3 linked regions of the Notamacropus eugenii genome follow. The main gene of each other region encodes a partner of the protein of the gene in region 2 in a complex. Links are inferred from orthologs where the notes say so. Each region holds a gene or a part of one and is shown on either strand. Other genes may lie near its edges. The genes, in order: ANKS4B, CDHR2 and CDHR5.

Region 1 (10,025 bases), on a different chromosome or scaffold from region 2:
ACATGACTTTCAGTTAGTTTTGATTTGAGTGAGTACATTGATAATGCATTTTTGCTTACTGTTAATATAATTTTGCTTTTTAATGGGAAGATCTTCCTTACCCATTAATGGACCTGGGAAGATTTGTAGGAAGGCTCATACCTTTTGTTAATTTTCTAATGAGGTATTGACTCTGAAGGGTTGTGATGCCCTCTGGCTCTAAAAAATGTATAAATACTCTGAGGGTGAAGTTTTACTTTGGGGCTTACTGACTGGAAGTATTTGTTTGGCTTGATGAGATTCTGAGAAGGCACTAAGCAGCCCCTCTAGCTTTGAAAACCCAGATGTTGGTGCTTCCCTTTCTGGAAAATATATCTGAGACTGTGACAGCCCTCCCCCCACAAAGAAGGGGTGCTTGTTGCTACAGTGAGAGAGGGCTGTGCAAGGTCACCAGCCTCACTTTCTCCTCTAGAGCCATCTGGATCAAGTGGCCAGATATTCATCAGGATGACTAGAGATGGCCCAGGATGCAATGGGAGACCCCGACCCTTTTTAGGCTAAGGCCTTGTACACAGAAAGGCATGAGGGACCGAAGAGAAGACAACATATGAGACTGTGGAGGTATGGATGGTAAATGAAACCATGTGAGTTGATGATTCACTAGTAGAATTTTTTCAGAGAAAAGCCAAGGAACCTAATCAAGTCATTAGCATCCTTTTCTATTGATAATCACTTGCATATTATTTTAAGTTTGATTTATAATTCAGTCTGCCATAGTGAAAGAAAATGGCAGCCAATAAAAGCTTTAAAGAGGTCATCTATTCTGTAATTTTACATGGATTTTGATGACCTTTGTTATCTGAAAAGGGGTAACAAGTATATGATTATCCTGATTGAGACTTTCAGGTCAGAATAATTTATTGGTATGAAATCTGAAAAATGGAGAAGAAAGAGAGAACTTTCCCTAGATCACAAAAGCCAATTAATTGCAAATGTAGAATTAAAATTCATAGCACTTACTGCGAATGTCTCTTCTCCCCCCGCCCCTCTCCATTTTTCTTCGTTATAAAGCACATCTAAATCATGAGAGGGTTGGTTTCTTTCTCTCTTTTCTTTTCTTTTTTGGCTGGACTTAAAAAACAAAAAACAAAAAGCCCTCTTTATTGTTTCTGGTCCTAATTAGACTGTAATACCGTCTGGGATTTAGCATTTTTAAAATATGCAGTTGAGAGATGCCAAATAATACCTCATGCAAACCAGATGGTACAATAGCAACTTTGTCTTTTATTCTGGCAGGAAAATAGGACTGTGAATAGTTTGAAACTTATGTGAACAAATTAAGTCCCACCAGCCCTTCAGAAGCGTTAAAATTCCATGAGTCAATCTACCCACCTAGTTTTTCTCTTACATTTTAATATGAAAGAGAAAAAAGAATGGGTAGGCAATGGTAATGATGTGAGGAAAAAGTGTCTTTTTACATCCTTTTAATAGGAAAACAAGGCAATTATTCTTAGTATCTGAAATCTTGTGAACAAGAAAAGTCTTATTCAAGTTGGTTGAAACAGTTTTGGCCGAATGGCAAAAAAGAAAACAGAGATCTAGCAGTCATTTTCTGAAGAGTTCATTTGACAACAATGTGCTTATCTGAACAGATAATGAGATTTTATAGGATAATGCACAAGTTCACAACAGATTGCAAGGTAGCGAAGTGAGGTATTGTTTGTACTTTCCTATGGGTCATGTTGTTAAGGGTTTTTTTTGAAACTCCTTTATTTCCTGGTTGGTTTTGCCTTAAATGAAATACAAAACCAAGGCAACATGAATTGAAAGGCAGATTTCCTCTCATTGCCTTTTTCCTTATTACCAAAATATGTGTGGGTTTCTGTTCCATGCAAGCAAGTTTCTTTTATAATCAGAAATGAAAAGCTTTAGAGACTGGAGAGAAACTGCTTATTGAAAACTAGATCTCTTGAGGGCAAGAGAGAGTATACTTATTACATGAATATATGTATTTCTGGGCCACTCAAGCCACTGAATTTCTCTTACAGTTTAGCAATGAATAGCTTTATAAAACAAAGGGAAAAAAATCTAGTTGGAAGTTTGCTAGCAAGTTTCTCTCAGGGTGGATTAGAAATTTGTACACATATGAATTTGTAATACCCTTTGCTTTCTTCTCTCTGTCCTCCCCACCCTCTACCTAAATGACCACAAAGGAATGAAATACCTTGCAGTTCCTAATAAAATAATTTTACTACTGCTACTTTTAGTCAATTCAAATTGGACTCTTTAATATATCTGACCCAGAATGCACATGCTCATACTTGATATCTTTCCTTTAGTTAGATTTACAGGAGAAACTGCAAATCTGTGGGAATAAAAAACCCTGCAGACTAAACCCTGAATTGAAAAAGTTAGTGCTGGCACAGCAAGAGTTACCAGTTGAAGATATGGGAAAACCTACCAAATTAGATCACTTCAATTAAATCAACTAAATCTCTTTTTTTAACCTTTTCCCATGGCCAGAAGTGGCATTAAGAATGGACTGACAAGCTATCCCATCAGTCAGGGTTGGCCAAGTTAGAATGATAAGATAATAAAAACAATACGAACAACAATAATGCATCTTTTCAAAACACAGAGAAGGTAACTGGATATCAGAATTAGGAAGAGACAGCAGAACACTGTCCAAATACACGGCTGAGTCTAACCAAAGTTCCAGAAGGAAATTGAATGCTATGAAATTGCAGCAACCAAGCTTGACTTGAAAGAAGAAATAGAACAAGGCAGTTCCTTACCTTTTTGGAAGAAGTGGAGGATTATGAAGTTTGAAATAATATTGACAATGTTGGACTTTTTTCCGTTGTGTTGCTTTGTTGAACTGATTTCTATCTTTTAAAAATTTTTTTGTTATAAGGATAGCTCTCTGTGAAGGGAAGGAGGAGAGAAAAATTGGGAAATATAGGTACTGTAAAAACAAAAGATACCATAAAATTTGTTTTGGAAAGAAATGCGAAAAAAATATTGGATTTTTTTAAAAAAGGAAAAACAACAACAAGAAATTCCACAAATTTTTTAAAAAGAAATAAGAAAATTTAGAATAGAAAACAGGTCTGAGATTAATCAATAAACCAGAGCTTCTACTAAAGAATTCAGCAAAACAAATGAGTAAGTAGGTAGTTAATAAATGTGGATGGGTGAAAGCCAGTTTGATTGATAAGGCCGTAGATGCCCCCCACAACCCCCAAGCAAGTATACAAAAACCCAGACATTAAGCTCCATTTTCAACCTTTTCCTGGAATGGTACTATTAGAATTAAATTTCCTTTTTCCCTTCTCCTCATTTCTAGTTCCCTGCTCATGTCCCTCCTTCTTCATTAGGTAATTTTATAAATACTCTCACTTTTTGGGTTCTATAGAAAACAAGTCAGCCTTACCTTGGTAAGATACTGCTTCTTTTCTCAAACAATCTATGAATTTTAGCCTGAGGGTTTCTATCAACTGAAGTATGGATCCTTCCTCCTCCCACCCCTGCTACCTGGTGCTACCCCACTGCAGGTACAGGGGCTGTACATTGAGATTGTCCCTGAAATCAGCTTTCTTGCCCTATGAGGGGAAATAAAGTTTATTAATTCTGTGTAGGATGATGCTTTTCATCTAGATTCTCCTACAATACAAAAACATATGTCTATAAAACCATTGAAACTGTAAAAAAGGAATGAAAGATTTGGGATTCAAAACTATAGATAAGGAAAATTTGGTAAAACAGAGCCAAAGGATAACATCGTTAGAAGAATTCATATTCTACAAAAGTCAAACTGACCTTGAGAAAAGGACTCAGAGATAAACTGAGGATTATTGATATCCTGGGAAAATGTTATTGATTTGAAAATTCTGACTACCGTACTGTAGGAACAATGCATGAAAATTATCTAGGAATATTGAAAATGGATGACAGAGTTCTGATCGATGGCAATCCTGGAGGACAGATAAGATCTTTAATCTCTAAGCAACACAGTAGTTAAACACCAAATTTCAATGTCTAATAATAGATACTGCAGGCAGAAAAGAGAGAGGCTTTTAGATATTAGGGAAAAGCTATTCAAATAACCTTTGGAATATGATATAATATCCCTCCCCCACCCCAGCCAAGGCAATCAGAATCCATCCCAAAATATGCAATGTGGAGCATCTTCATCAATAACAAAAGATTTCACCAAAAAAGGGACTGTAAAAAGAAGTGCTATTGATGCCTTTTTCTTGTTATATCACAGTCATTCAAGACATTCTTTCTTTCCCCAAAGCTTTCTCTTTCAAAGCCTTCCCAAAGAAAGCTATTGTCATCATTCTTTCTAAAGACACCAGAGACAAACAGGTTACTTGATCTAGAAATACTTCAAATGGGAGAAACGCAAGACAAGTAAATAAACAGTTAAGAAGCAAAAAAGAAATCCATATAATTAACAAATTCTCTCAAGGTTTGGGGGCAAGATATGGATATTGTTTTGGTTTTGGTTTTTTTAAAGAAAATTACATTGGTTGAGAGACAAAGAAAGATTATCTAGGGCCAAAAGAAATTAAAATGATTAAAATAGGAATGACAGTAAATTTAAATTGTGTGGATTAAAAGCTTCTTCATAAGTGAATCAACATTTCTGTTCGATTCATTCTTCATTCCCAGGTTAGCCATAACCCCTGAACAAAGTTAGCCTGCTCTAGGAGAATTTGTTCCTCTTTGCAACCAAATGACTCAGTTATCTCAAATACTCCTCCTACTGTTTACATGGCAACCAGGAAAAGGATCAAAGGTCAGCTTAAATCTCTAATTATTGTTGAGAAGTAGCTGAGAACGGAAGACCCATGAAACGTAAAAGCATCCCCCTGGAATAATGTCTTCTTTGTGACAGTGGGGGACAGAGAAAACAGAAGAGAGGAAAGCATAGTTTAAAAAGATACTTTCCCAATAAAATCTGGGGAGTAGTGCTAGATTATATGACAATGAAAACTGTCTCCTTTTGTTCAATGACTATATTGCCTATGTCACCTTTATGATAATCAGTTAGTGATGTAACCTCTGTTTCAGTTCCTTTTTCCCCCAAACTGTAAAATACTTGGGAGTGTGAAGGAAATAAAATAACCATTGGCAGCCATTCTGGAAGGAAAATTTCCTCTGTCAGATCTAAGTACTTTTCTGGCTTCCTCCAGGGAGGCAGACAGGTGATGAGCTTTGCCCTCATATTTCTACCTTATTGAAGGTATACTGCAGTTTATAGTCACTGATTAACCCCTCCCATTGAGGCAGGGCTGCTGGGTAGGCCTCTGCCTGGCAGAAGACTTAGGGCAAACACTCTGAGTGCTGGCTGAGGTAAGAGAAGAGCTGAATTTAAAATGTCCACCCGGTACCACCAAGCTGCGACTGATGGCTACCTGGAAATTCTGAAAGAGGCTACCAAGCGAGATCTTAATCTGTCTGATGAAGATGGCATGACTCCCACACTCCTGGCAGCCTACCATGGCAACTTGGAAGCTCTGGAGATCATCTGTAGTAGGGGGTAAGTTTAGACTATAGTTTTTGATAAAGGCCAAGTTACTCAGGGGATTTTTTCACATGAGAGTAAAGTAAATGGCACGTGGGACAAATCCTACAAGTCTTTCCTGAAGTCTTTAAATAACTGCCTCCTTGGGAAATGGGGAAATCCTATAGTTAGCGCCTCTTCCTTGTGTTTTACAATTCTGAATGACAGGCCTATCTCAATAATAATGATTGTGATAATAATAATAGACATTTACCTAGATCCAGAAATGCATTTTTTTTTAACCATTGAGCTGATGCTAGGTTTTTTGTTTTATTTTGTTTTGCCATTGAGGATGGAGCAAGATGATCTGGTGATAATGGCAAAGAATAGATGATGTTTCTTTTATAAGCCAGAGACACTGGAATGTGTTGCCAAGGATAAATACTTAAAAATCTTTGCTGAATATTTTCAAGACGATAAACTCCGTGTATCTGGCATGATTTTAAAATGCAGTTTAAATGAGTAGGAGGTGGGGATAGGAGAGAAGCAATTCTATTATTTTATGAATCTTTTTACCCAAAAGTAAATGCTCAACTTTTAAGAAGTTCTATTTCCAAGAACATTACCAGCATAAATTCCAGTTTATAGAATTTTTATTTTCTCTTCACCTATGAAGTCGCTGGATGAAGTTGTTCCCTTCTTGAAGATCTGGTCCCTGACACCGTAGCGAGACCCAGTTTCAAAGTTGGATGGCAGGCTTATTTATGAGTCAATTAAATAAGCTATAAATAGGACTTTGAGTTTGCCTCACTATGGGAACTACTTCATCCAAAACTAGGCCTAAACAATGATCTCTCTTTGTTCTAATTGAGGCATTAGCAATTTGCTTAATTCTGAGGACCACCAATAGAACTAAGCAGTATATGTGTTGGGGGGAGTGCAATAAAGGGGGAGGGAGGGAGGGAGGGAGGAAAGGAGGGAGGGAGGGAGGGAGAGAGGGAGAGAGAGAGAGAGAGAGAGAGAGAGAGAGAGAGAGAGAGAGAGAGAGAGAGAGACAGAGAGAGAGACAGAGACAGAGAGAGAGAGAGAGACAGAGAGAGAGAGAGAGACAGAGACGGGGGGGGCATTACACAGAAAGAAAGGAGGAAAGAAATTGAAAAGATGTTTATGATGGAGAATATCAGGGTCAAGGCCAGCCCTAGACATAGTGGTGAAATTAGCAAAGTTTTACGTATTCTGTTCAACTTTGACATTGACTTCCCCCAACTCCCAATTATAGGGATGTCTCCCTTAGTCTGCTACTCTCCTGCTGTTCCTTGACTCCCTTACTCCTTAACCTTTCTCTGCTTCTCTGTGAAATTTATTTAACATCTACTCTCATTAGTTTCAAAGATGATCTAATAAACTAGCTTTCCCCAATGTGCTAATGGAAAAAGGCTTAAAAGCCATTCTGAGGTAAATTATATTAATGGGAGCTTTTTCCAGCTTTGTCCTCTAGTCCACTTGTAATCCACAGGTGATGATTTCAGATCAGAAAGGTAAGAATAGTTTTAGGCACTGAGCTTTCCATGCACCTCTAGGATGATGCCTATCCACTTATTTTCATATAGGATTAGCTTTGGGCAGAATCATTTCTTCAGGATCTACCTTACTCCAAGTACAGAAAAGAAAATAATCAAGGTGAGGTTACCACAGAATTCCTTGTATTCCACTGAAGATGCTAACTAATTCTCAATGAATAATAAAACAAGATTCAAAAGCCAGTCCCTACCAAAAAGGATTATTCACTTAGAAAGAGAAAAGGGGCCTTAACAAAATATAAGAACATTGATTAGCCAACACAGCACAATTGTGTCAGATTGTACGAAAGGTATTATGGGATGAATGGTAGCAAAGGGGGAAGATGAACCACTTTCATTGCATTATTCAAATCAGAAAAGAAAAGTAGGGGAAAAGAGTTGGAACCTCAGCTGAACACTTTCAAGGACTGCCAATCTCAGCACAATATATGACAAGGATTGGGATTAACATAGGGAGTTATAGTGGAGAGATGAGAGTGGGGAAGGAAAGGAATATGAAAAAGGAAGAGAAAAAATCATATACCTGAAATTTCATTCCCCAGGGATCTTTAAGAATTGGAGGAATAGTTGTCTAGGATAATTTATGTATAATCTTTCCTAGAAGCAAGGGTCTAAACTAACTGACCTTGAAGGTCCTCCATTCCAGCCTCAGAATTGAATAAGTAGATTCTTAGTCATATCCATAATGTGATAGAAAACATTAATGTGACTCAGTGACCAATGCTCTTTGACACAGGCACCCTTTGCCTGTGACACTGTCACATGGACTAAGTGACCAATAAAGAGATTGCTTTATCATCCCAAACAGCTTAGTCCCATTATCAGCTCAGCACATGTCCCAATTCAGAGATGACCTAAGGGAGATCAGTTCAGCTGCATGCATATTCCATGGGATGACCACCATTGCACATTTAAGTATGGAACTGAATAATACTTATCTTGACCAGCTTACTATAAACAGAATTAGAAGAAAGAAGTTGAAGCTGAGTGTAAGGATGGTTGATAGGTATTCCTTGGTGAGACAAGGGCATTGACAGTTGGTCTTATTAGACATTCCCAAACAATAAGAAACATCAATGCATAGAACATTTGGTAATCTAATATGGTGCTCAAGATAAGTAGTTCCAAAAAGATCACTATGAAAACAATTATACCTTATGCACTAACATTTATTGTACAGAACAAAGAGAAAAATTACAGTAGAACTTGATAAGATCTTCCAAAGTAAATCAGCACATACTTGGTTACTTAGTGACTTCAATGCAAAGGTAGGACAAGGTAACAATGACAAGAAATATATTGAAAAAAAGGATCAGCAAAAAAGAATGAAAGAGTACAAAGATGAAGCCTTAAGCCTAAATGCCATGATTTTCTTCAAGAAAAGATTCATTAAGCTCTAGACGTGGTGAGAACCAAACAGCATCACAAAAGAATTTATTATCTTTTTAATAACTGGAAATGCTTCATTACTAGTGTGGGAGCAATTCCTGACCAGTCAGTCTGTAGACTTGTGAGATCAAAGATCAAAATGAATACAACACAAGGGGAAAGAATAAAAGGAAATAAAACATATGGAATGCAGTTGAAACAATTTAAACCTGACTTATAAAACAAGTTATTTTATAACTTGTTTATGTTATACAAACAAGTTATAGGGAGGAGAAATGAGGCTGGTGACCTTGCACAGATTTCCCTCACTCAAAACAAATTCAAGTACAAGTCACATCATCATTTCTCTGATGGCATGGTCTTCTTCGGCAACAAAGAATGAACCCAATGAAAAAGGTATGATAATGGTAGGAAGGGCATTGACACAGATAATAATTTTAACTTTAAACCAATTATCATAACATGGAAACTCAAAGAGTCTAAAGTCTTAGTCAGCAAATTCTTGATTTATTCACCAAAGAGAAAGAAATAGTAGCCAGAGGAAGCACTAACCTAGAATGAAACTCATTTATAAAATCTTGTTTAGTGGATGATGCAAGATTGTGAGCAGTATATACTGATAAACCAGAGAAACAGTGGACTTTATCAGAGAGAAGCAATATAGATTAGAACCAATTTAAAGAAAGTTTGACAATAGACCCAACCAAACAAGTTCATCCCAAGAAAATTAGGGATGAGAAAGGAGAGAGAACAAAAAATTTAAAAAATGAAAAAGATTTATAAGGATTTTTTAAAATCACAAATATCTTTCATCAATAAGGACAGAACCACCATACTTATACTCATAGAGGAGACAGAAATGATGCTAGAGAGAAGCAAGGTGGGAAAGCAACTGGATTGGATCAAGTATACATTGATGAGATTGATTCTGGAAGTGACACAATTATGAGGACAGGATGAGAGCAATTCATCTCTAGGCAAGGAAGATACCAAAGATACAACTATTTTTTGCATCTGTGAGAAGAGTGTAAGAAGAGAAAAGGACTTAAACCAGATAAGGAGGAGGACCTAGAGCAGGTGTGTTGGAGGCATTTGGACCATTGAGGTACATCAGAGGTTGAATATGACAAGGAAAAATTTTGTGAAATGGGATAAATTGAAGAAAACTTTAAAAGCAATCTCCAAGCCCAGATGTCCACATTCTATTTCTTGGTTGAAAAAAAAAAAACATGGTAAAGGACAACTAAAGAGGATATAATAAAAATGGTAAAATAAATAATAATTGTTGGGTTTTACATAGTATTTTAGTCTGCAAAATATATTTCATCCTCATAATAACCCTGGAAGGTTTGTTGTTCAGTCATTTTAGTCATGTCTAACTCTTTATGACCCTATTTGAAGTTTTCTTGGCAAAGACACTGGAGTAGTTTACCTTTTCCTTCTCCAACTCATTTTACAGATGAAGAAATTAAGATAAACAGGGTTAAATGATTTGCCCAGGGTCCCATAGCAAGTGAGTGTCTAAGGCTATATTTGAACTCAGATGTTCCTGACTCCAGGTCTGG
Region 2 (10,000 bases):
GAAGATAATGTGAATTCCAGTATGCAGGACCACCTGGAAGAAAGTGCAGGGGCGGAAATTGGGAGGTGGGGCACAAAGAGCCGCAGGTATCCCATTCTGCGGGAACGAAGAGTTTATGGAGGGGAAGAAAGTGAAATAAGGCTGGAAAGGTAGATTAGGGCCGAACTGTGGAGGAGTTTAAAAGCCAGACTGAGCAGTTTGCATCATAGGAAGCCACTGAAGGTATTGAAATACATTTATTTCTGCCTTATGGGGCCAAGCAGAATAGGGCTAATACCTTCCCATTGCAGTTCTTCGAATACTTAAAACAAGCAATTATGAATGAATGAATGAATGATGAATGAATGGATATGTATCTATTGAGTGCTCACTACGGGCCAAACACTATGCTGGGGGTGGGGGGCGAGGTGGAGAGCAAAAAGGAAGATGGTCCTTGACCCTGTAGTCTTTTTTCAAGTTAAGAAATTTAAACTGTTTTCAAGAAAGTCAGTAAGCAAACAGCTCTTGTTTGTTCTTTTGTTTTAAGTCGTGAGCAAATAAGCAGTTGTTTGAAGTGATTATTCCCACACCCTTACCACACTTTTGATCATATTCAAGAAATGACAAATTTTGGAATATTTTATCATTTTGGTAATTTTAAAATAACCACTATTGAAAAAAGTTCAGAAAACCAATCACAAAGAAAAACCAAAGGAATCATTTGCTTTAGAAAAAGACACACAAAGCTTGATATCTTGTAGCAAAACAAACACATCCCTGCAGTTATATCTGGTTTAAGGTAGAACCTTTAGTCACTAAATAAAATTGCTAAACATTTATAATAAAGCAACATCCAATATATGTTTTAAATTCTTCCTTTACTAAGTTGTTAGAAAGCAAGCTGCTACTTCAGTCATCTAGTGTCTCAGTATAAAGCTTAAAAGATGGGTTTCTAAGCCCTCACCAGTAGCACTTTTCACGTATACTGGTTCAAACAATTTTGTTGATGTTCAGTTGTCTCTTCCTGAACCTACTCGGGATTTTTGTGGCAAAGATCCTGGAGTGGCTTGCCATTTTATTTTACAGATGAGGAACCAAGGCAAACAGGGTTAAGGGACTTGCCTAGGGTCACACAGCCAGTAATTATCTGAGGCTGAATGTGAACTCAACTAATATGAGTCTTTCTGACTCCCAGCCTAGTGCTCTATCCACTGTGCCACCTAGTTACCCTGTGGTTCGAGAATATATAGCAGCTAAATCAGAGAAATGGAGTCACACTGGAGTCCTAAGCATCAAAGCCTGTGGGCTTTGCTAGGGACAAGGAATTCACCATACTTTTGTATAAAGTAGAAAAGTTTAAAGCTTTATGTGAGGAGGGATTCTGTCTCAGAATTCAGTGCAGCTAGAGTAGATACAAGATCCAAATGGGATACTGTTATTCACCTGGGAGCTGACCTCCCTTATCTCCCACCACTGTCTTTCTTTGGCAAGGGGTCAGTCCTTTTGCTCCTCCATCCTCAGAACTGTGTCCCTTTTAAGAAAGACATTGAATTCCCAAGAATCCAGAGATTCATTCCATAAACTTGACTTGTTTCTCCCCAGTTTCCACCATCCTCAGGTTGGCTCTGTTCTAGTTGATTATTCTGACTGAAAGTGAAGGTGGAGATTTTATCTAAGATGAGCAAAGGCCACAGAGGGGCAATGGGTTGAATTGCTGTAGGTGTGGGACATCAAGAAAGGAAAATAAGTGCTTCATACCCCTAGCTGAGTTTCTCCCAGAGGCCTAACTTGGTATTGTAAGGGAAACAGGGAGCAAGTGAGTCAGTGCTGAGTCCAAGGTTAATAGTTGCTCAGTCAGGATATTGGAAAAATACACCCATGTTATCCTTTCTAAATCCCCTTGAGGATACTCATACATTGGGAATGGCCAAATAAATTATCATATGAATATGATGGAATACCTTGAGAAACTACAAAAAGGGTGGTTTCAGAGAAACCTGGGAAGACTTACGTTAACTGATGCAGAATGAAGTGAGCTGAGCCAGAAGAACAATCTATACAATAACAACAGCATTGTAAAGAAGAAACACTTTGAAAGTCTTAAGAACTCTGATCAATGTGATGACCAACCATGATTTCAGAAGACTCAAAATGAAGCAAACATGCTACCCACCTCCTGACAGAGGTGGACTTGGGGTACAAAATGGGACAAATGTGTTTTTTTTGGACATGGCCAATATTTAGAATTTGTTTTGCTTGACTATGAATATTTGGTGTTAGGGTTTTCTTTTTTCAGTTGGAGGAAGAGATGAAAGAGATTTTTTTATTAATTGAAAAAAAAAATAAAATTCAGAAGGAGGCTCACCAAGATTCCACATGGCTTTAAAAAAAACTTTAAAAATATGACTTGCATTGATAACAATGCTCTAAAGTTTATGAAACTTTTTTTTGCAACAAATTGGTGAAACAGGTAATGCAGGTAATTACGTAGATTACATTATAATATTGGGAGACAACATATATGGAGAGTGGTGGACAGAAAGAAGTATTTTTGTTTGGAAAGTTACAAGGATGTTTAATGGAATTGTAGGGGAATAGATTGACACACTATTTCCAGTAACAATGAGTAAGTGAATGAAAAAGCATTTGTTAAATGCTTATTATATGTACCCAACACTATGGGAATGCATAGCCTGGATGGAAATACAAAAACAAAGAGATCTTACATTCTAATGGGGGAGACTACATATGCAGTATAAGAAAATGGTGACCATGGAAAGGCAGTTTGGCCCTCAGAAAATTACAAAGGGATGGGCCATAAGGAGTAGACTGACATACATCATCCAGGGGCAATTGGCAGCATAGATTTGGTCAAGGTTCCATAACTGCTTTAGACAAGGGGGAGGCCTGGTTCAGGGGTGGGTAGGAAGTAAAATGAAGCATGACTTTCCTGAAATAAGGGATCAGTAGAATCAGTCACTAATCAAAATGGCTTGGTCCTTTTTATGATGATTCCAGAACTGAAAAGGAGTGGGAAGGAAAAAGAGCAAAGAGTATAATCATGGTGAGATAACTGGTGAGAAGGTAGTGGGGGAGACCATGTTCCTCTTCACCTCCCAACCCAAATCTTCCTCAGAATCCTCAGTTTTTCCAAAGTATCTCAGGGTAGTGTGGTCTCCAGTTTCCTGTCCATCCGAGCTATTCTTTGAGGCCATATGACTCCAAAGCCAGTGTCTTGCTGTAAGATATTCTGGTGACATTGCTACATTGCCAGAGTTATGAGTGTTTGTTGTCAAACATTGTCAGTGTTTGACTCCAAGGAATCCCTATTAGGCAGATGTCCCAGAGTTTCTCTCATAGAGTCTGAACTTCAGGGGTCCTCCTCCCTGAAGTTCCCTTCCCCAACTGAGGCTACAAAACTGTGTCGTAGAGCTGAAGTCTGAGGCTGAGAGGGAAGACAGTATGGGGGCAGTGAACTTGGCCTTGGGGATGAGGAGACCTGTATTTTAGTACAGAACAGTGGTATCAAACTTAACTGGAAATAGTGTCAATTTATCATAAAGATCCCTGCAGGTCACATGTTGACTTAGTTTTAAAATGTAATGTTATCTATGTTTTATGGCATTTTTATTTGTTTTGTTAAATACTTCCCCTTTATATTTTAATCTGGTTCAAACCCTGATGGGAAGTGTTTTGTGCTGCAAGACGGCCTCATGTGTGACCCCGTTGGTCTAGAATCTTTCCCTGGTTCACTGGATGACTTTGAGGGAGTTGCTTTTCTCTGGTTTCAGTTTGCCTATCTAGAGAATGATAGTCTGATAGGTTTGGCTAGAAGAAAGTTTAATGAACATATAAGTACAACCACTTCATTTTATCAAGGTCCCCTCACTCCCAAACTCTTGTCCTTTCCATTTCACCATACCTCCTCCTCTCTTTCTCCCCTTAACAAGAAGAAGAGGAAGTTTTCACCTATAAAAGGGATATAGAAAGCACAGGATATATCGGACCTTAGAAGTCATCATTTGTTTTCAATGTGCCGCTTCCCATCAGTTAGCTTTTAATGGAGTTGATGACTTATGGGTTCAAGAGTTAATTACAGGTGTTGCCATCTCCAGTCAGTTCAGGAAGGATCACTTTGACTGAAGAGAAGGTCTAGATCACATCAGGCCCTTTTTTGTTTCTAGGAACAGGAAGGGAGGGGAGATCACTGAAGCCCAGGTCTGGGGCAACCTCAGGCTTTATGACCAAGCTGGTGGGGGTCTGGGAGATCTCATAGTCCTTGCCTGGACTTTGCAGGGGAGAGGAAATTGGTGAGCCCTGGGTTCTCTTCTGAGCGTTGTCTGGAAGACTCTGGAGATGGGGGAATCTCCTAGTCCTGAACGGGTTTGGTTTTGGGGTGTCAGAGATGATAAGGTGGAGGGCTTAAAGTCATAGACTGAATTCTCAGGGAGGGGGAAGATAGGGGAGACCACAGCCCCAGGCCATGCTAGAATGGGAATATTTCATTTGATTCTTTTCAATTATATAATTTTATTAATTATCTATTATGTGCAAAGATATGACTACTCTCCATGCTGGATATGTAAGAATTAAAAAAACTCCACCGTCCCTCAATCTATTCTTCATCATTTTGGTGACATATAGTCATCAAAAGGGCTTATATAAGAGGATAGTATATCGACAGAAATATGAAATAAAGTATGGTAGGCAGGACAACGGAGAGATCTTGACAAGGTCCTCTAGGAAAATTTGAAGGGAGAGAGAAGGAAGGGGAGAGCCAAGAGCTAACATCTGGTAGTTAGGCTTTAATGGGATTGATGGCTGGTAGGTTCAAAGATAAAGGCACTGGAGAGTAGTACCCAGGAGAGGAGGAGGGGAGGACTATAGCCCTGGGCTGGGTTCTGGGGAGGGAGGGGGAATGTAAAAAGGAGGAGATAGATGAGTGAAGAGTGTCTTCCTCTGACGCTGGGGGAATGAGGCGAGCTGGGAGTTAGGGGGTGTAGGGAAAAGAATGTGGCATTGTGAGTCCAGCGTATGGGTCTGACTCATTTCTCTGGCATTTACTACCTGTGTGATCTTGGCTTTAACCTCTGCGACTTGCATTTTCTTTATCTGTTTAAATGGAAGGGTTGGACTGGATGAGCTGAGGTTCCTTCCCACTCTGGGGCTACTATTCTATGTTCTGAGAGCCCCCCGCCTAGGCCAGGTTGTACTAGGATGAGTTGGGGCACAAACTGGCAGAACTGGGCTGGGCTCTACTGGAAAGGTAGGTGGGGAAGAACTGACAGATGTGCCATAGGGCAATTAGCAGGCTTGGACTGGGCTGTACTGGAGGCTACTCTGGGGATTTGGGGGTGGGGTGGGAGGACATTGAAGAAGGCTAGACTGCCAAACAGCTCACTTAACTGTTTTTGCTTCCTTGTAGGGAATAGGGCTGAGGGTTCAAGTCAAACCTCCAATTAACCAATCAACAAGCATTATTAAGCACCAGTTATGTGTCAGCAGTAAAGAATGGAGCAGAGGATACAAAACCAAAGGCATCCTGTTCTCAGGGAATTTACATTCTAATGATGGATAGGAAATGCACTTTAAGTAGGAATAAGGTATATACAACCTAAGCTAGAGGGATGAAGGCAGTGGGTGGCAGGTGGGCCAGATAGTTCTTGTGCTGAGTCCCAAAGGAGGCTAGGGACTGTGACAGGCAGAGGGGAGGCTCCTGGGAGCCCCCAACCATAGCACTATAAGGGACCTTAGAACAGAAACTGTAAGAACTAGAAAACAGCCTTAGAGTATACATTAAGTACAATATGTGGTTTTGCAGGTAGAAAAACAGGCTCAGAGAGGAAAAGAGAATGCCCAGACCTATCTGTTGGTGGGACTAGGGCTAAACAGAGTTCAGGTTTCCTGAGTCTTTCCACTCCTCCACGATGACTGTTTTTTGCTGGACTATCTGTTGCCCAGAGCTGGCAGGGCCTGGGTGTCTCTTTTCATTCTGAGAAATAGAGATAAGGATGAAAAAGATAAAAAGGCTACCTGGGACAGTTCTAAGGTGTGGGAAATGAAGGGTAATGGGTTGGAACAGTCATTCTTAGGTTGGTCTGCTTAATTGTGGCTGGCTCCAAAGGTCTGGGTATGGCAAATTAGCCACAAGGCTAGGGGCTTTTGAAGATGAGAATATGAGTCCAGAAGGTCAGGGGATCAGAGAAAAATGGGAGGTCAAAAACTATAGCATTCAGCCCTTGCCCACCTTGGTATCTGTGCTGGAGTAGAAAGGCTTTTTGTTTTTGTTTTATTTTTACTCTGAAACAGTTGTAGGGGTATAGATTAAAGAAAGCTTCTTGGCAAAGATGGCATTTGAGGTGGGCATTAAAGAAGAGGAGGGTCTTCTAGGTGGAGGGTGCTATGTGAACAAAGGTTTGGAGGCAAGAAAATGCACAGTGTTGGGGGTGGACAGCAAGTTGTCCAGTTTGGATCCTAGACTGTAGGAAGGGAAGTAACAGGAAGAGCAACTGTAAGGATAGATTGGGGTCAAATTGTGGAAAATAGTGGAATAGTGATAGTTTAAGTCCCTTCCAGCCCTAAATGTAGGGTCCTATGACTGTCAAGATGGACATAATTGAGAAGATATGAGAAACAGTGAAATGAATTGAGCCAGTTGGTTATGGAGCTGATAAGAAAGAGCATCTCAACTAATTTATTGTCCATGGAAGTGAAGAAGAGGGACATGAGAGGTGAGGGTGAGGAAGGAGTACCAGAGAACTGGGCAATTTTGAGTTGGGCAACAGAGGGGATCATAATCTTAATTCTCATTGCTGTAGTCAGCTAAGATTTCTGGAATACTTCCTTTACAATAACTCTATGAGGGGATGAATGCAAATAGTCCCCCTTCTACCCCCAAAGAGGTTGGAAGTTCCCAAAATGACGGGTAAGGGGAATCCCTGGAATTGCAGACTTGTGGGAAGAGCTAGTCCTCTCTTGGTGCCCAGCACCTGCAACCTCAAAGACTGCAAAGAATGGGCTTCTCTGGAGAGAGCCTTTTCTTCTTTAGCTGAGATGTGACCTTGCTCTAGACTTGAGTTCATTTACTCTTTTGTATTCTATCTTCTATCCTGGGAGTCGGGGACCTGTGGCTTCAAGGTCACATGTGGCCCTCTAGGTTCTCAAGTTCTGCCTTTTGCCTGAATCCAAACCTCACAGAACAAATCCCCTTAATAAAAGGATTTGTTCTGTAAAACTTGGATTCAGTCCAAAGGCCATACCCAAGGACCTAGAAGATCACATGTGGCCTCAAGACCACAGGTTCCCCACCCCTGTATCTATCCCAATCAGTGTACTTCAGTTTCTATTGTTTCTCTATGTTTCCTTATTGGTTTGTGTGTGTGTGTGTGTGTGTGTGTGTGTGTGTGTGTGTGTGTAACAAGCATTTGATGGGAGAGTCTTGGTCTGGGAAAGGACTACTTGTTACCCAGGATGACCAGGGAAAAGAGCTCTGATTCTAAACTCCCAAAGAGTAAAAGAGTCCCACCTGACTAATATCTGATGTATAGAAGACACACATAATTCTAGCCTAATATCCCTCTTGGAGATAGAAGAATGGAGAAGTGAGTGCCCAGCCATGGCTCTTCTCTTATTCCACTGAAAGGTAAAAAATCCCAGTCTTAGTTGGGGACGTAGAATAGGGCTTTCCAGGTCCTACAGCTCATATAGAGAGAAATCCCTGTTGGCCAAGGTTTAAATGGTTACAGTAGTCAACAGTATTATACCAATATGATTATCTCCATTTTGTGGACCAGGAAACTTCGACAGAGGAAGACCAAGCAAGTTATTCAGCATTGTGTAATTGTTAAGTATCAGAATGGGGGACCGAATTCGGATATTCTGACTCTAAGACTAGGGCATTTTCTGCTGCAGCATTCTGTCTAGTACTATTCATGGAGAGAGTATATTGGGATTGTTAAGGGAGTAGGGAAAAAGAGGATAATTTTATCTCCCTCATTTTGAATGGATTAATCATAGCATGGTAAAGAAGACTTTACAATCTTAGGGGGCAGAATATCAGAGCTAGAGGGTGACCATTGGAAGAGAGGAAGGAAGGGAAACAAACAAACATTTATTAAGTACTTATCATATGCCAGGCAGCTAAGAGGCAGTTAGATGGCTCAGTGGATAGAGCTTTGGACCTGGAGTCAGAAAGACTTGAGTTCAAATCCAGCCTCAGACACTTACTAGCTGTGTGACCTTGAGCAAGTCACTTAACCTCTGTTTGCCTTAACCCATTGGAAATGGAAATAGCAAACCACTCTAGTATCTTTGCCAAGAAAAATCCATGGACAGTATTGGTGTACTTTGGTCTACAGGATTACAAAGAGTCAGACGTCACTGAATAACAACAGTGTGCCAGGTGTTGAGCTAAGCACTTCATAACTATATCTCACTCAGTCCTCATAACAATCCTATGAGGTAGGTGCTATTACTAATCCCATTTTAAAGATGCAGAAACTGAGGCAGGCCTAAATTAAAGTGGCTTTCCCAGGGTCACACAGCTAATAAGTATCTGTGACTGGTATTTGAACTTAGGTTCCAGGGCTCTATTCACTCTGTCACCTGACTGCCTCTAAGGCCTGGAAGGGATGAATCATTGATTTTCTATGGGTTTGAATACAAGTCCTTCCTGTGCCCATTTTGTGTATGTGTAGCTGTCTAGATCTAGGATTTTTATCAATATAGGGGATTCTCAGTGTGTGAGTTTCTGCTGGTACAGATTGCCAACTCATTTGTGACATCCTGTCTCAGAGAATTTCCTGTAACACTGAGATCTTAAGTTACTCACCCATGATCAAGTAGCCAGCATGTGCCAGATACAAAACATGAACTCAGGTCTTCCTGATCACAAGGCTAACCCTCTATCTGCTGGTTCATGTTCCTTCTCTTTCCTTACTGTGTCTTTTATTAAATATCATGATTTTATATTTTGAAGCCTTGTAATCCCAAGTACTCATAAGAAGAATCATTGGGTACTCTAAGGATTGCTAGATACTGAATTTTCCAGGTTCCATCTGCTTGGGTAGAGGAAAGCAAAGGTTTCCCCGTGCCTGGAATGCTCTCCCTCCTCACCCCTACCTCCTGGCTTCTTGGCTTCCTTGAAGTCCCACCTAGAATGTCACTTTCTACAGGAAACCTTTCCCTATCCCCCTTAATTTTAGTGCCTTCTTTCTGTTGGTTATTTCTTATTTATGCAGTATGTAGCTTATGTATACTAAACTATTTCCTATTGTAGTAGACTTTTCCTTTTCTTTGTATCCTCAGAATTTAGCACAGTGCTTGGCACATAGTAGGGGCTTAATATGTTTTTAATCTCCCCTGACACCATCAGTCAGTCTGGAACCTCTGACACTAGATTTGTGTGTTAAAGGACAACTCATTCCCAGCAGGTGTTCATGGACAAAACCCCTGCTTCTAGTCTTGCTTGGGTTTATGCCATCTCTATTATCTAGGCCATCCCAAGACCTCATTTTCCAAATGGGTGGAACTTGTTCTACCTTTGCTTAGATGGTCCAGGGAGACCTCCATTATTTGAGGTTTTAGTGCTTTTCACCCCTCCACATCTTCTTATTCTGCCCCTTCCTCTTTCACACTGTTTCCCAGTGATTATGACCCCTCAGAGCATCCATCCAATTCCTCACTCCTAGGCCTGCTCTGGCCACTCTCTGCTCACCTGTAGCATACAGAGTTGGCCAGGAGGTGAAAGATGATCATTTGGATTGATCATTGCTGCCCTCAGCTCCAATCCTCCAACTCCCTAAAACCTCTCAGAATGAACTTGAATTTCGATTGTCAGAGGCAGAAGTGTGTCCCCAGCGGACCTGGGATTAAGGTAGTGGGACAAGCCCTAGCTAGTTAGGACATTGGGTTGGACTCCAATTTGTGCCATTTACTAGCTAGGCAACCCTGGACAAGTCACTTCTTCTATTTGGGTTCTAGTTTCTCTTCCTGTAAAATGAGGACTTTTGCCCTATCTCCA
Region 3 (10,926 bases), on a different chromosome or scaffold from region 2:
ATAGCTTCCTGTGTGCACTTTTTGTTGAGCCTAGGGAGAAAAGGGGAAACCAAGGCACAGACTGAACTCTCAACAGGACCCCGAAAGAGAGGGCCTATCCATCATCAGAGACCGAGGGAAGCTACGAGGCCAGCGAATGTCACCCAGAATAAGGCAGGAGGGAGGGAGTGGGCAGGATAGAGACCACAGCCATGTCTATGGGGCCCTGTGACAAGGAGCCCTAGTGGGGAGCATCTGGGCACCCCAAACTGGCTCTGGATCTCAGTTCCAGGGCCTTGGCCACCATGAAACACTGGTCCCCTGGAGCCTACCCATGCGAAAAGGTAGGCAGTCCGTCCATCAGCATGTATCAAGCACCTACTGAGTGCCTGGAGCTAAGCTAAACATTGGAGATACAGTCCCTGACCTGGAGGAGCTCACAATCTAGTGGGGGACAACATGTAAATAGACACAAAGCATGCTCTGGACAGGATAAATTGGAAATTAATCTAAGGAAAGTCCTGGAATAGAGGGGCTGGGGAAGGTTTCCTGTAGGATTTGGGATTTTAGGAAACCAGGGAGGTCAGTAGGAAGAGTGTTCCAGTCATTGGGGTCAGGGGCAGTGTGAAATGGCCAGAGAAAGTGTCCAGAGCCCATAGATGGAGAATCTTGTTCATGGAACAGCTGAGAGGTAGGGGGGCTTGTGCCTCAAAGAGTACTGTGGGGGGTGGGGGGGAAGTTATAGGAAAACTGGAAAGGGAGTAGGCAGGTTATGAAGGACTCTGAATACCAGGAAAAAAAAAAAGATTTTATATTTCCTCCTGGAGTAGGGGGTGATATGGTCAGACTTGTTCTTTAGGAAAATCACTTTGATGACCAAATGGAGGATGGATTGGAGTGGGGAGCAACTGAGGCAGACAGACCCTCCAATAGCCCAGGAGTGAGGATATGAGGGCCTGCACAAGGGTGGGGACAGGGTCAGAGGAGATAAGTGGGCATATTGGGAGAGAAAATGCTGCAGAGGTAAAATGACAAGAGATATTTAGAAGTGAAATCTACAAGAGATAGAAGTGAAATAGAAGACACGAGATACTTAGAGGTGAAATGGACCAGAGAAACTTAGAGGTGAAATCTACAAGAGACAGAAGTGAAATAGAAGACAAGAGATACTTAGAGGTGAAATCTACAAGAGGTGCTGGATAAGTGAAATCTACAAGAGATAGAAGTGAAATAGAAGACACGAGATACTTAGAGGTGAAATGGACCAGAGAAACTTAGAGGTGAAATCTACAAGAGACAGAAGTGAAATAGAAGACAAGAGATACTTAGAGGTGAAATCTACAAGAGGTGCTGGATAAGTGAAATCTACAAGACATGCTGCAGAGGTGAAAGTTACAGACTTTAGTCAACACATTGGAGCTGGGGGGTAAAAGTCAGGAGTCCAGGAGTCCAGTCAAAGTTGGGACCCTGAGGGACCAGGAGAAGGGTACCCTCCACACTAATACAGAAGGTTTGGGGAAAAAGAACTTCAGTTTTGGACATGTTGAGTTTCAGATGTCTACGTCCAGTTCAAGATGTCTGAAGGGTAGATGGAAGACTGGAGGTCAGTTGGGAAGTGGGGGCGGGAAGGATAGATTGATTTGAGAATCCTCAGCACAGAGATGGTCATTAATCCATGGTTGCTGATAAGATCTCCAGGTGAAACAGGGAGAAGAGCAGAGGGCCCAGGCCACAGCTAGAGGGACACCCTCCCAGTTGGGGAGGGCATAGGCTAAGAAGGGGAGCATACCTAGACCTGCTTCTCACCTGGACTACCAGGTTGAAAGTCTTGGGGACAGGGACAGCTTTGGCCATGGTGACGTTGCCTGAGTCCACGTCAATTTGAAATGTATCATCTGCATTCCCTGGGGAAGTTTGGGGGGAAGGGAGGTCACCTTCAGTCATCTTTGTGCCTGCCCCCTCCTCCACCCAGAGATAGTGTGGTGGGCAGGCAGCACAGAGGGCCTAGACTCTGATGGGTTGGCAGGGGTAGGATGGATCTCACCTGCAATAATGCTGTATCTGATTGGTTCGTTGATGGCAGTGTCTCCATCAATTGCATATACAGGCCCGGGTTCGAAGGTCAGGGGTAATGTCTACAGGAAGGTAAGAGGAGAACCAGTGGGGGTGGTGTCTCTGACCCAGCCTCCCCTAGTCACACAGACTGGCCAGGTGAGAGGACTGGTAGCCTTCTACAGTGTCCATCTCTTGAGTCCCAAACTGACCCTAATTGGCCTGTACAAATTTCCTGCAGGAAGTGAGCAGTGCCCAGACCTGTCTGCCGAGGAGGCAGAAATAAGGCCACTGGTGGGCTCATCTGGGAGATTATGGAGGGAACTTCCTTGAGAAACTAGGTCATATTAGGAGAGAAAATTGTTATTAAATGATTAGGGCTGGGGACTGGACCCAAGCTTGAGCGGGGTCAGAAACATGCAAGAATATGAGGTTCGGGGCACAAGTCTCCAAAGGATCTGAAAGTCTCCAAGGTTCTCATCCTCCTCATCTCAGCTGTGTCAGACTCTGGATGGAAATAGTCTCCAGCCCTAGTCACTTAATAATTATTTTCTCTCTTAATTTGGCCCAGATTCTCAAGGAAGTCCTTCCTGTATCCTCCCAGACATGCCCACCAGTGGCCTCAGCCCTGCTTCCTTGGCAGGAAGGTCCAGGTACTGCTCACTCTTTTCAGGAACTCTCTGAAGTCCAGTTGGGGTCAGGTTGGAGCCCCCAGGGATGGACACTGTGATCAATGGAGCCCTTTGGGAGACCTTCACTGGCCCTCCCTTCTGGCTACTGAGCATGGGTGGTTAGGAGAGCATGTGAGGAGAGATGCCTCCCTGCCCCCCACCCCAAGCATGGACATTACCAGTATGGAGCCAGTCGGCACAGCTGCTCGGTACTGTGCATTGATGCAGACTCGCCCATCAGTGAACACACAGGGTAAGAACCATGGAGGGCGTATGTCTGCAGGTATCACTTGAATTATGACTGTGGCTGTGGAGGTGTGGCTGGGCTTCACCGCTGGCTCTGAAGTGTCCTGTGGCAGAGACCCCAGCCACACATGAGTGGGATACAGCAGGGCCTCACTGACCACTCCATATTGGTGCGGGGGTACTCTTTTCTATGATCCCCTTCAAAGCTCCTGGTCTTAGAGGATAAAGAGGTCTACTTGGGAACTGGGGGTCACTGGGCATAGGCTTTGCCGTTTTGGTCTGTCAGGACACCTATGTGCCCAAAGGCTCCAGCACATAGATAGAGCTCAAAGAGCCTGAGGAAGCATCCCTCATTTTATAGAGGGAGAAGTCAAGGCCTAGACAGCGGCCAGGACTACCTAGAACCACACAGCCAGACTCCTTGGGGACCCAGGAAGGGGAGGAACTCACTCTTGCCAGAAGGTGGAAGACCAGGATTGGGGTCTTCTCGTAGTCCAGAGCCCGGGTCAGTTGAAGGGCAGGGAAGTTAACCCCAACCAGGGAGAAAACCAGGTCTGCATCCTGAGGTGGAAGTGGAGGGGGCAGGAACCAGTTGGAACCCAATGCTCCCTTCTCTTTCCCCCCAACGCCCCCCCATCTCAGGTAAGTGGCTGAGTCATATACCCCAGTGGAGCCTAGCGCCAGGGTCTGACTGGGAGTTGGGGGGAGAAAGATGCTCCGGAGTCCTGGAGGGGTTGGGGGAGGGAGAGAGGGTGCCCAGGAGGAAGCCAGGTCAACTGACCGAGGGGCTCTGCCCTGAGAGATTGTAGAAGATCGTGTCCCCATCCTTGTCTATGGCTGTGAGTTCTGTGGCTGAGATGACAGTAGTCCCCACGTTGGTGTTCTGCCCAAAATTTAGGAAGTTTGAGTGGGAACAGCTCAGCTCCATCCCTGGTTTGAACCCCAGTCCCCACCACACCACCCTGTGCATTGTGTAGCTCACCTCACTGACATTCCAGGCCTTACTGGAAAAGGCAAACACCGGGGCCATGTCATTGACATTGAGAACCTCCACAATCACAGGCAGAGTGGTCACCTGGGGCAACCCAGGGGTTAGAGGTCAGCAGTCATTCCTTCAGTCCAACCCACTTCCCCATCCCGATGCCTAGCCCCCACACTCACCACTTCAGACCCCTCCTTGCATTCTAACATTGCAGTCAACACGGTATGTGTCTGGGTGGGAGAAAGAAGGGAATGCAGAACCAGTCATTCTCAAAACAAACCAGGCCTCTGGACATCCACACTCTTATGTGACAGATTGAGCGGGGTCCCTCTTCCTGCCTCCCTGCCTGAGGTGGGGTGAACATAGGGGAATACCTAGAGGACCCAGGAAGGGGAAAAGGGATGGCATAGGGGGTTGGATCCTGGCTCACCTCATAATCAGGGGCCCTGGTGAGCCTCAGCTGACCATTCACAATATCGAAGATGTCCTTAGGACTGGATAAGTCACTCACAACCACTGTCTGCCCCAGGGGTGCTGTGACCGTGGCTAGGGGTTCGGTAGGGAGCTCATTCTCAGTCACAGAGAGCAGCGTCTGATTCACAGAGCACACTGTGGGGGGGAGGGGATTCCCACTCTGAATCAGCACTAACCCCTGAACTTCCCTGGAAGCCCCCTCCATCCCTGCCCCCAGCCTCTCCTCCCTCAAACCCTCCTCCCCCCAGCCCCCTGCTCCCAGCCTCTCCTCCCTCAGCCCCTCCTACCCCCCAGCCCCCATCCTTTCCTGCCCTTCACCATCTCCCTTGCCTCCCTGACTCTCTCCCCCAAGCCCTGCCTTCTTTTCAACCCCACTACCCTGGGTCTGGCCCTCAGCTCCAGGGAGAAGCAGCAGCAGTGGCAGAAGCCCCAGCGTCCACCCAGAGGCCTCCATGGTGGGAGAGCAACCCAGCCCTCCACCCGGGGAGCCTCTGAGGAAGGGGAGAAAAGATCCTTCAGCCTGGCTTGGCTCAGCCGGCCCTGCCCTGCTGCTCTCCTGGCACGAAGGAACGGAGAGCGACCTTTGAGACGGGCAAATGACGATTATTTATGGCACCTACAGCCAGGGCTCTGACACGCCCCCACCCCCAAGGTCTCAGCCCTCCCAGCACCCCAGAACAGAGCCTGGGACGCCGACCTCTGACTGGCCCTGGCCCTGGGGAGGTGTTGGGGAACACAAGCTTGAGTCTGGGTTGTAGAGAATCAGAAGATCCCTGCCCTTTGTCCCTCCACCGAACACAGGAGGAAATGAAACAGTCGCCCTGGACCTTTGAGGGCTTCCCAGGCTGCCCGTTCTTCTGGAGCATCCATCCTGTCCCTCCCTCCTCATTTCAGACCATTAACTAGTTAGTGGCCTCAACTTCGGAAAAAAGAACTTTGTGTTCCCTTGCTGTGCCCGGAGGGCCCAATCCTTGGGAAGACGTGAGAGGATGAGACCTCCTTCAGCTGGGAATGACAGGAGAGGTCATTTGTATGGGAGACTGGTTGTCAGGGCTGGGGCTGGGAAGGGAATCAGGCTGCTCATTTCAGGCATAGGGGAGGGAGCAATGGATGGACCCCCAGATACCTGCACAGGCCCTCTGGCAAAGGAGCTCGGGAAATTTTCTGTTCTTCATTATGAACTGAATCACTCAAAAACAACCAAAACCAGTAACTCACATTTCTATAGTGGTCTAAAGTTTACAAATAGTCAACTAGTCTTTCTCAAGTACCTAATATATGCCTGGCATTGTGTTAAGCCAGGAGTGGGGAAACCTGTGGTCTCATGGCTCCCAAGTGCGACTTTGAATCCAAACTTCACAGAGCATTTGTGCACAGAGGATTCATTTTGTGAAGTTTGGATACAGTAAAGGGCTGCATTTGAGGGCCTAGAGGGCCACACGTGGCCTCGAGGCTGTAAGTTCCCTAGTCCTGTATTAAGCATTGGAGAATACATAGAAACGTCCAGATAGGATGGCATTTGACTCTCACAGACTGTTCTGTTTGTTGTTATCAAGTCATATCTGATGCTTTGTGACCCCGTTTGTGGTTTTCCTGGCACAGATACTAGAGGGGTTTGCCATTTGGTTCTCTAGCTCATTTTACAGATGAGGAAACTGAGGCAAATAGAGTGAAGCAACTTGTCCAGGGTCATTTAACTAGTAAATGTCTGAGGCTGGGTTTGAACTCAGGTCCTCCTGACTCCAAGTGCAGGGCTCTAGAACTCAGGGAGAGAGAGGGCAAGATTGATCCTCTCTGATCATACTTATCTCCACCCACTGGGGGCTGATTGAGGTGGGGAACGTTCACTGGAGATTAGCTACAGAGGGTTTTATTCCAAGGCTAAGGAGGTCAGGGCTACTAGGCTTCCTTTCTAAGCAAAGTTAGAAAGATAGAAAAGTCAGAGTACAAAGAAAACTCCCAAAGAGCTGAATGCCCCCCAGACTTTGGCGGATTGGCCGGTCCCAGGCAGCTGACTTAGTATAATTACTGCCTTCTGTGCCCCCACCCCGCCTCTCCCACTTTAAGCCTCCTTTGGCTGGCAGACCATTCTACTCCTGAGAAAGTGCAAGATGACAATGGAGTGAGCAGGAGAAAGGTAGCCTCTGTGCTCTGTCTCAGAAGACACAAGACCCAGACCTTAGGTTTGCTTTCCCCATTTTCCTTTGATTGAATCAGTAACTTCTTTTGTAATCTTGTTTCATTCACCAGCTAGAAAAGTTGGAATTTTCTCAAGTGATTCCACTGGCAACCCCATCACCCCAACAGGAATGTCCATGCTAGCCTATGGGGTCACCACCAACATCCCCCAGCCCAGGAGGGTGGGGAGTTCCTACCTGGATTCTATGGGCAGGGGGGCATTTGTGCTGGAGGGGTGGTCAGGGTAGAGAGGCAAAGAAGTGCGTGTGAGGCTTGGAAGATGGTGGTTTCCTTGGGAAGGTTACTTCGGGCTTTGGTTGCTCACCATGTGAACTCCTTTCCTTTGGGCATTTCTGCAGCCTTTAGACCTGCTGCTGCTAGAAACACATTCCTGGCCAATTCAAAATTTTCCTTCAGCACCAGTTCTTCAACTTATGTGCCTGCTGTAACCCAACATGCTCCATATTTTAAGGGTACAGCTGTTGTCAAAGGAGAATTCAAAGAAATCAGCCTTGATGACTTTAAAGGCAAATATTTGGTGCTTTTCTTCTATCCTCTTGATTTCACTTTTGTGCGTCTGACAGAAATTGTTGCTTTTAATGACAAAGCTAACGAATTTCATGATGTGAGCTGTGAAGTCGTTGCGGTTTCAGTGGATTCCCAATTTAGCCATCTGGCCTGAATAAATACACCAAGAAATAGTGGTTGTTTAGGCCATATGAATATTCTGCTCCTGTCAGATTTAACCAAACAAATTTCCCAGGACTATGGTGTTCTGCTTGAAGGACCTGGCCTTGCATTAAGAGGTCTCTTCTTAATTGACCCTAACGGAGTTATCAAACACATGAGTATCAATGATCTCCCTGTGGGCCAAAGTGTGGAAGAAACTCTTTGTTTGGTGAAGGCGTTCCAGTTTGTGGAAGTACATGGAGAGGTCTGTCCAGCAAATTGGACACCAAATTCGCTTACGATCAAGCCATCTCTGAATGCTTCCAAAGAATACTTTGGGAAAGTGAATAAATAAACAATACCAAGTATTGAAGACCCATGTGGCTTTTTAAATTATGAAGAAACCACAAACTGGAATCTACAATAATATATAAAAAATTACTGCATATAGAAGAGTAGAATATGTGCAAGTTATGCCTATTTCTGTGAATTTCACCCCCAAATGCTCAGTTTTCATCAAATTGCCCCCTCAAAAAAACTATTTAACTTTGATAGTTGTTGCTAGTTCAGAGTATCATTTAGTACAAAATCCTTGCTTTCCCCATAGGTCTCCTTTACACATTACACTTAACATATATTTGGTGTCTTCATCAGAACCTAGAGGTTCCCTTCCTGAATTGATAGGCTAAAGAAATCGCTGTTGTCTTTCTATGCGTAAGAAACAGGTGTAGCAATCAGAATGCTCTGAGGGGCTTGAGTTAGAGGTGAACAGGTATAACTGCTTTCCCTTAACTGATTATCCCTTTGTAGATTTTTTTTTTTATTATTAAACCATAGCCATTTTTCTCCATAAAGTGAATGTCCTGTAACTAAAGACAGTAACTTCAGAGGTCTAATTTGACTCATGGCATATTTGAGTATAAGACAAGTATGAAGTATATTTACTGTTTAAAAAAATCTAACACTTAACAGTAGTAAATTAAAGTAGTTAATCATGGGCAGACCAGAGATTTTTAATTCAGGGATTCATTTACCATTATTTGAAGTTTGAGTGAACTTTATGTCTTGATATATTTCAAATACTATTTAATTTGACTGTAAAAGATACTTGTTGAACCCCAGAGTTATGTATAATGCAGCTCTGGAAATTATTATTGAACATTTATTTTTTGTAGCTGGTGAATAGCTCAGTGTACATTCTTTAATCAAGAATAAAGAAATTTTAAAGTAAAAAAAAAAAGAAAGACGTGTGTGAATGTTTGTTGATGGCCCTTCTTCCCTTGTCTAGGAAGATGATGAAAAGATGCCATAGGTACAGTATAGTGGCACTGATCTTCCCTCAGAGGCTTATTAGCTATGTGACCCTGGCAAGTCACTTATCCTCTCAGCCTCAGTTTCCTTAACTGTCAAATAGGAATAATAGCAGCGCCCCCCTCCAAGATTATTATGAGGATCCAAAGAGATAATATTTGTAAAGTACTCAGCACAGTGCCTGGCATCTTGTACAGGTACTTAATAAATGTGTGTTTCAGAGGAGAGAAGTGGAGCCAAGCCGGTGGAGAAAAGGCAGGTGCTTGCCTCTCAGCACCTTTAAATAATGTCCCAAAACAATTCCTGGAGCAGCAGAACCCACAAAAGGATGGAGGGAAATAATCTTTCTAGCCAAAGACAACCTAGAAGGTAAGGTCAACAGGAAAGAGGGAAGGGAGCCGGCAGCTAGTCAGAGAGATGGACGCAGTGAGGCAGGATTCTGTTGCTTTGCAACCAAGAATAACCTATCCAGCAAGACTGAGTATAATCCTGAGTATAATTAGTGATGGGGAGCGAGTGAACTTTACTTTCATCATAGCTGACTCAAAGAGGAAATAACATACACATCCAGTTGAGTACAGAAATCTGTCTTACCCTACAGGAAAGGAGGGGAAGGGAGGTGATAGAAAGGAGGGCAGATTGGGAAAGGAGCAGTCAGAAGCAAAGCACTTGAGGAGGGACAGGATGGAGGGAAAAACCACTAGCAATAGTAATGGTGAAAAAAATTTTGGAGCAAGTTTCTCTGGTGAAGACCTCATTTCTCAAACATATAAAGAACTGAGTCAAATTTATAAAAGCAAGAGTCATTCCCCAATTGATAAACGATTAAAAGATATGAACAGTTTTTAGATGAAGTAATCAAATCTATCTATAGCCAACTGAACAAAACTCCGTATTGATTGGAAAAATGAAAATTGAAACAATTCTAAGGTGCTACCTCATACCTATTAAATTGGTTAATAGGACAGAGAAGGACAATGAACAATGTTGGAGGGGATGTGGGGAAAATGAGACATTAATGCACCGTTGGTGGAGTTATGACCTGATTCAGCCATTGTGTAGCACAATTTGGAACTCTGCCCAAAGGGTTACAAAACCATGCATTCCCTGGTTGGCCATGTTGTTCTAATGCGAAACGTGTGCTTGCCAAAAAAGACTCTTTTATGGAGAACTCACACAGGACAAGCGTTCACATGGTGGTCAGAAGAAGTGATACAAGGACACTCTCAAGGTCTCTCTGAAGAACTTTGAAATTGATTATGGGAGACAGACACAGGACCAGTTAGCATAGTGTGTTCTCATCAGAGAAGATGCTGTTCTTTATGAATGAAGCAGAATTGAAGCAGTTCAAAAGGAATACAAGATGCATAAATTTAGAGGATCCTCCCCAAATGTTCATATGGACTCTTTGTGCCCGACCTGCGGGGAACCATTCTTGTATTGGTCCAATCAGTCACAGTCAGACACAATGTCATTTTGGTCTTTAAGAACCAAGGACAACAACCAACCGACAGCTGCTAGGTCTCTATCCCGAAAGAGATAAAAAACAAAAAAGAAAAGGACCTATATGCACAAAAATATTTCTATCAGCTCATTTATGGGGGCAAAGAATTGGACATAGGTGACTACGTTGGAATACTATTGTACTAAAAGAAACGATGAGCAGAAAAGCTTGGAAAGACTTACATGAGCTGGTGCAAAGTGAAATGCACTGTGTACAAAGTGACAGCAGTATTATAAGGTGATCAGCCGGGAATGACTGAGCTATTCTCACCGATACAATGATCCAAGACAACTTTGAAGGCCTTAGGATGAAGGATATTCTTCATCCCCAGAGAAAGAACTGAGAGTGTCTGAATACAGACTGAAGTAGACTTTTCTTTATTTTTCTTGAGGTGGAGTTTTTTAATTTCTTTCACATCATGACCGATACGGAAGTGTTTGGCATGATGACCAAAGAAAAAAAGTAAATCGGTGTTTCCCTCCTTCCTTATTTTATAATGCATATACTCAGTGAATACAATCTTTTCCCACTTCTGAAGGCCAAAGCATGCCTTGTCTCACACTAGCTTCCCTCCTGTGGCTCACTCCTCCATCCTTCTGGCCCATTAGAGCTCAGAACCACCATGTGTTGTTGGTGTGAACTCTCTCGCTTGCCCTTTTTCTCCCCATTAGACTGGGAACACCTGAAAGGCAGAGATTGTTTTTTGCCTTTCCTTGTATCCGCAGCTTTTGGCACTGTGCATGGTGATTACAGGTGCTTAATAAATGCTTGTGGAGTGACAGATTGACTGATAAGTTGGCGAAAACCTATAAATTCCTTTGGTTTTAAATGAGAAAAGGGAAGTACATGGGATTCCAAAA

The links.
Region 1: CDHR2 (region 2) and ANKS4B share a complex: the UniProt entries of both Homo sapiens proteins name them as parts of the IMAC/intermicrovillar adhesion complex. The link is inferred for Notamacropus eugenii from reciprocal best matches to the Homo sapiens genes CDHR2 and ANKS4B.
Region 3: CDHR2 (region 2) and CDHR5 share a complex: the UniProt entries of both Homo sapiens proteins name them as parts of the IMAC/intermicrovillar adhesion complex. The link is inferred for Notamacropus eugenii from reciprocal best matches to the Homo sapiens genes CDHR2 and CDHR5.

The regions. Positions count from the first base shown.
Region 1 is NC_092874.1:397,908,018-397,918,042, reverse strand, and holds the start of ANKS4B (ankyrin repeat and SAM domain-containing protein 4B), read left to right. Parts: upstream 1-5,283; 5' UTR 5,284-5,363; coding exon 5,364-5,527; intron 5,528-10,025. UniProt on the Homo sapiens protein: As part of the intermicrovillar adhesion complex/IMAC plays a role in epithelial brush border differentiation, controlling microvilli organization and length. Plays a role in assembly of the complex.
Region 2 is NC_092872.1:413,157,993-413,167,992, forward strand, and holds the start of CDHR2 (cadherin-related family member 2), read left to right. Parts: upstream 1-4,972; 5' UTR 4,973-5,245; intron 5,246-10,000. UniProt on the Homo sapiens protein: Intermicrovillar adhesion molecule that forms, via its extracellular domain, calcium-dependent heterophilic complexes with CDHR5 on adjacent microvilli. Thereby, controls the packing of microvilli at the apical membrane of epithelial cells.
Region 3 is NC_092873.1:27,702,473-27,713,398, reverse strand, and holds the start of CDHR5 (cadherin-related family member 5), read right to left. Parts: upstream 4,954-10,926; 5' UTR 4,859-4,953; coding exon 4,783-4,858; intron 4,540-4,782; coding exon 4,361-4,539; intron 4,161-4,360; coding exon 4,110-4,160; intron 4,024-4,109; coding exon 3,931-4,023; intron 3,832-3,930; coding exon 3,730-3,831; intron 3,510-3,729; coding exon 3,399-3,509; intron 3,053-3,398; coding exon 2,882-3,052; intron 2,115-2,881; coding exon 2,024-2,114; intron 1,884-2,023; coding exon 1,786-1,883; intron 31-1,785; coding exon 1-30. UniProt on the Homo sapiens protein: Intermicrovillar adhesion molecule that forms, via its extracellular domain, calcium-dependent heterophilic complexes with CDHR2 on adjacent microvilli. Thereby, controls the packing of microvilli at the apical membrane of epithelial cells.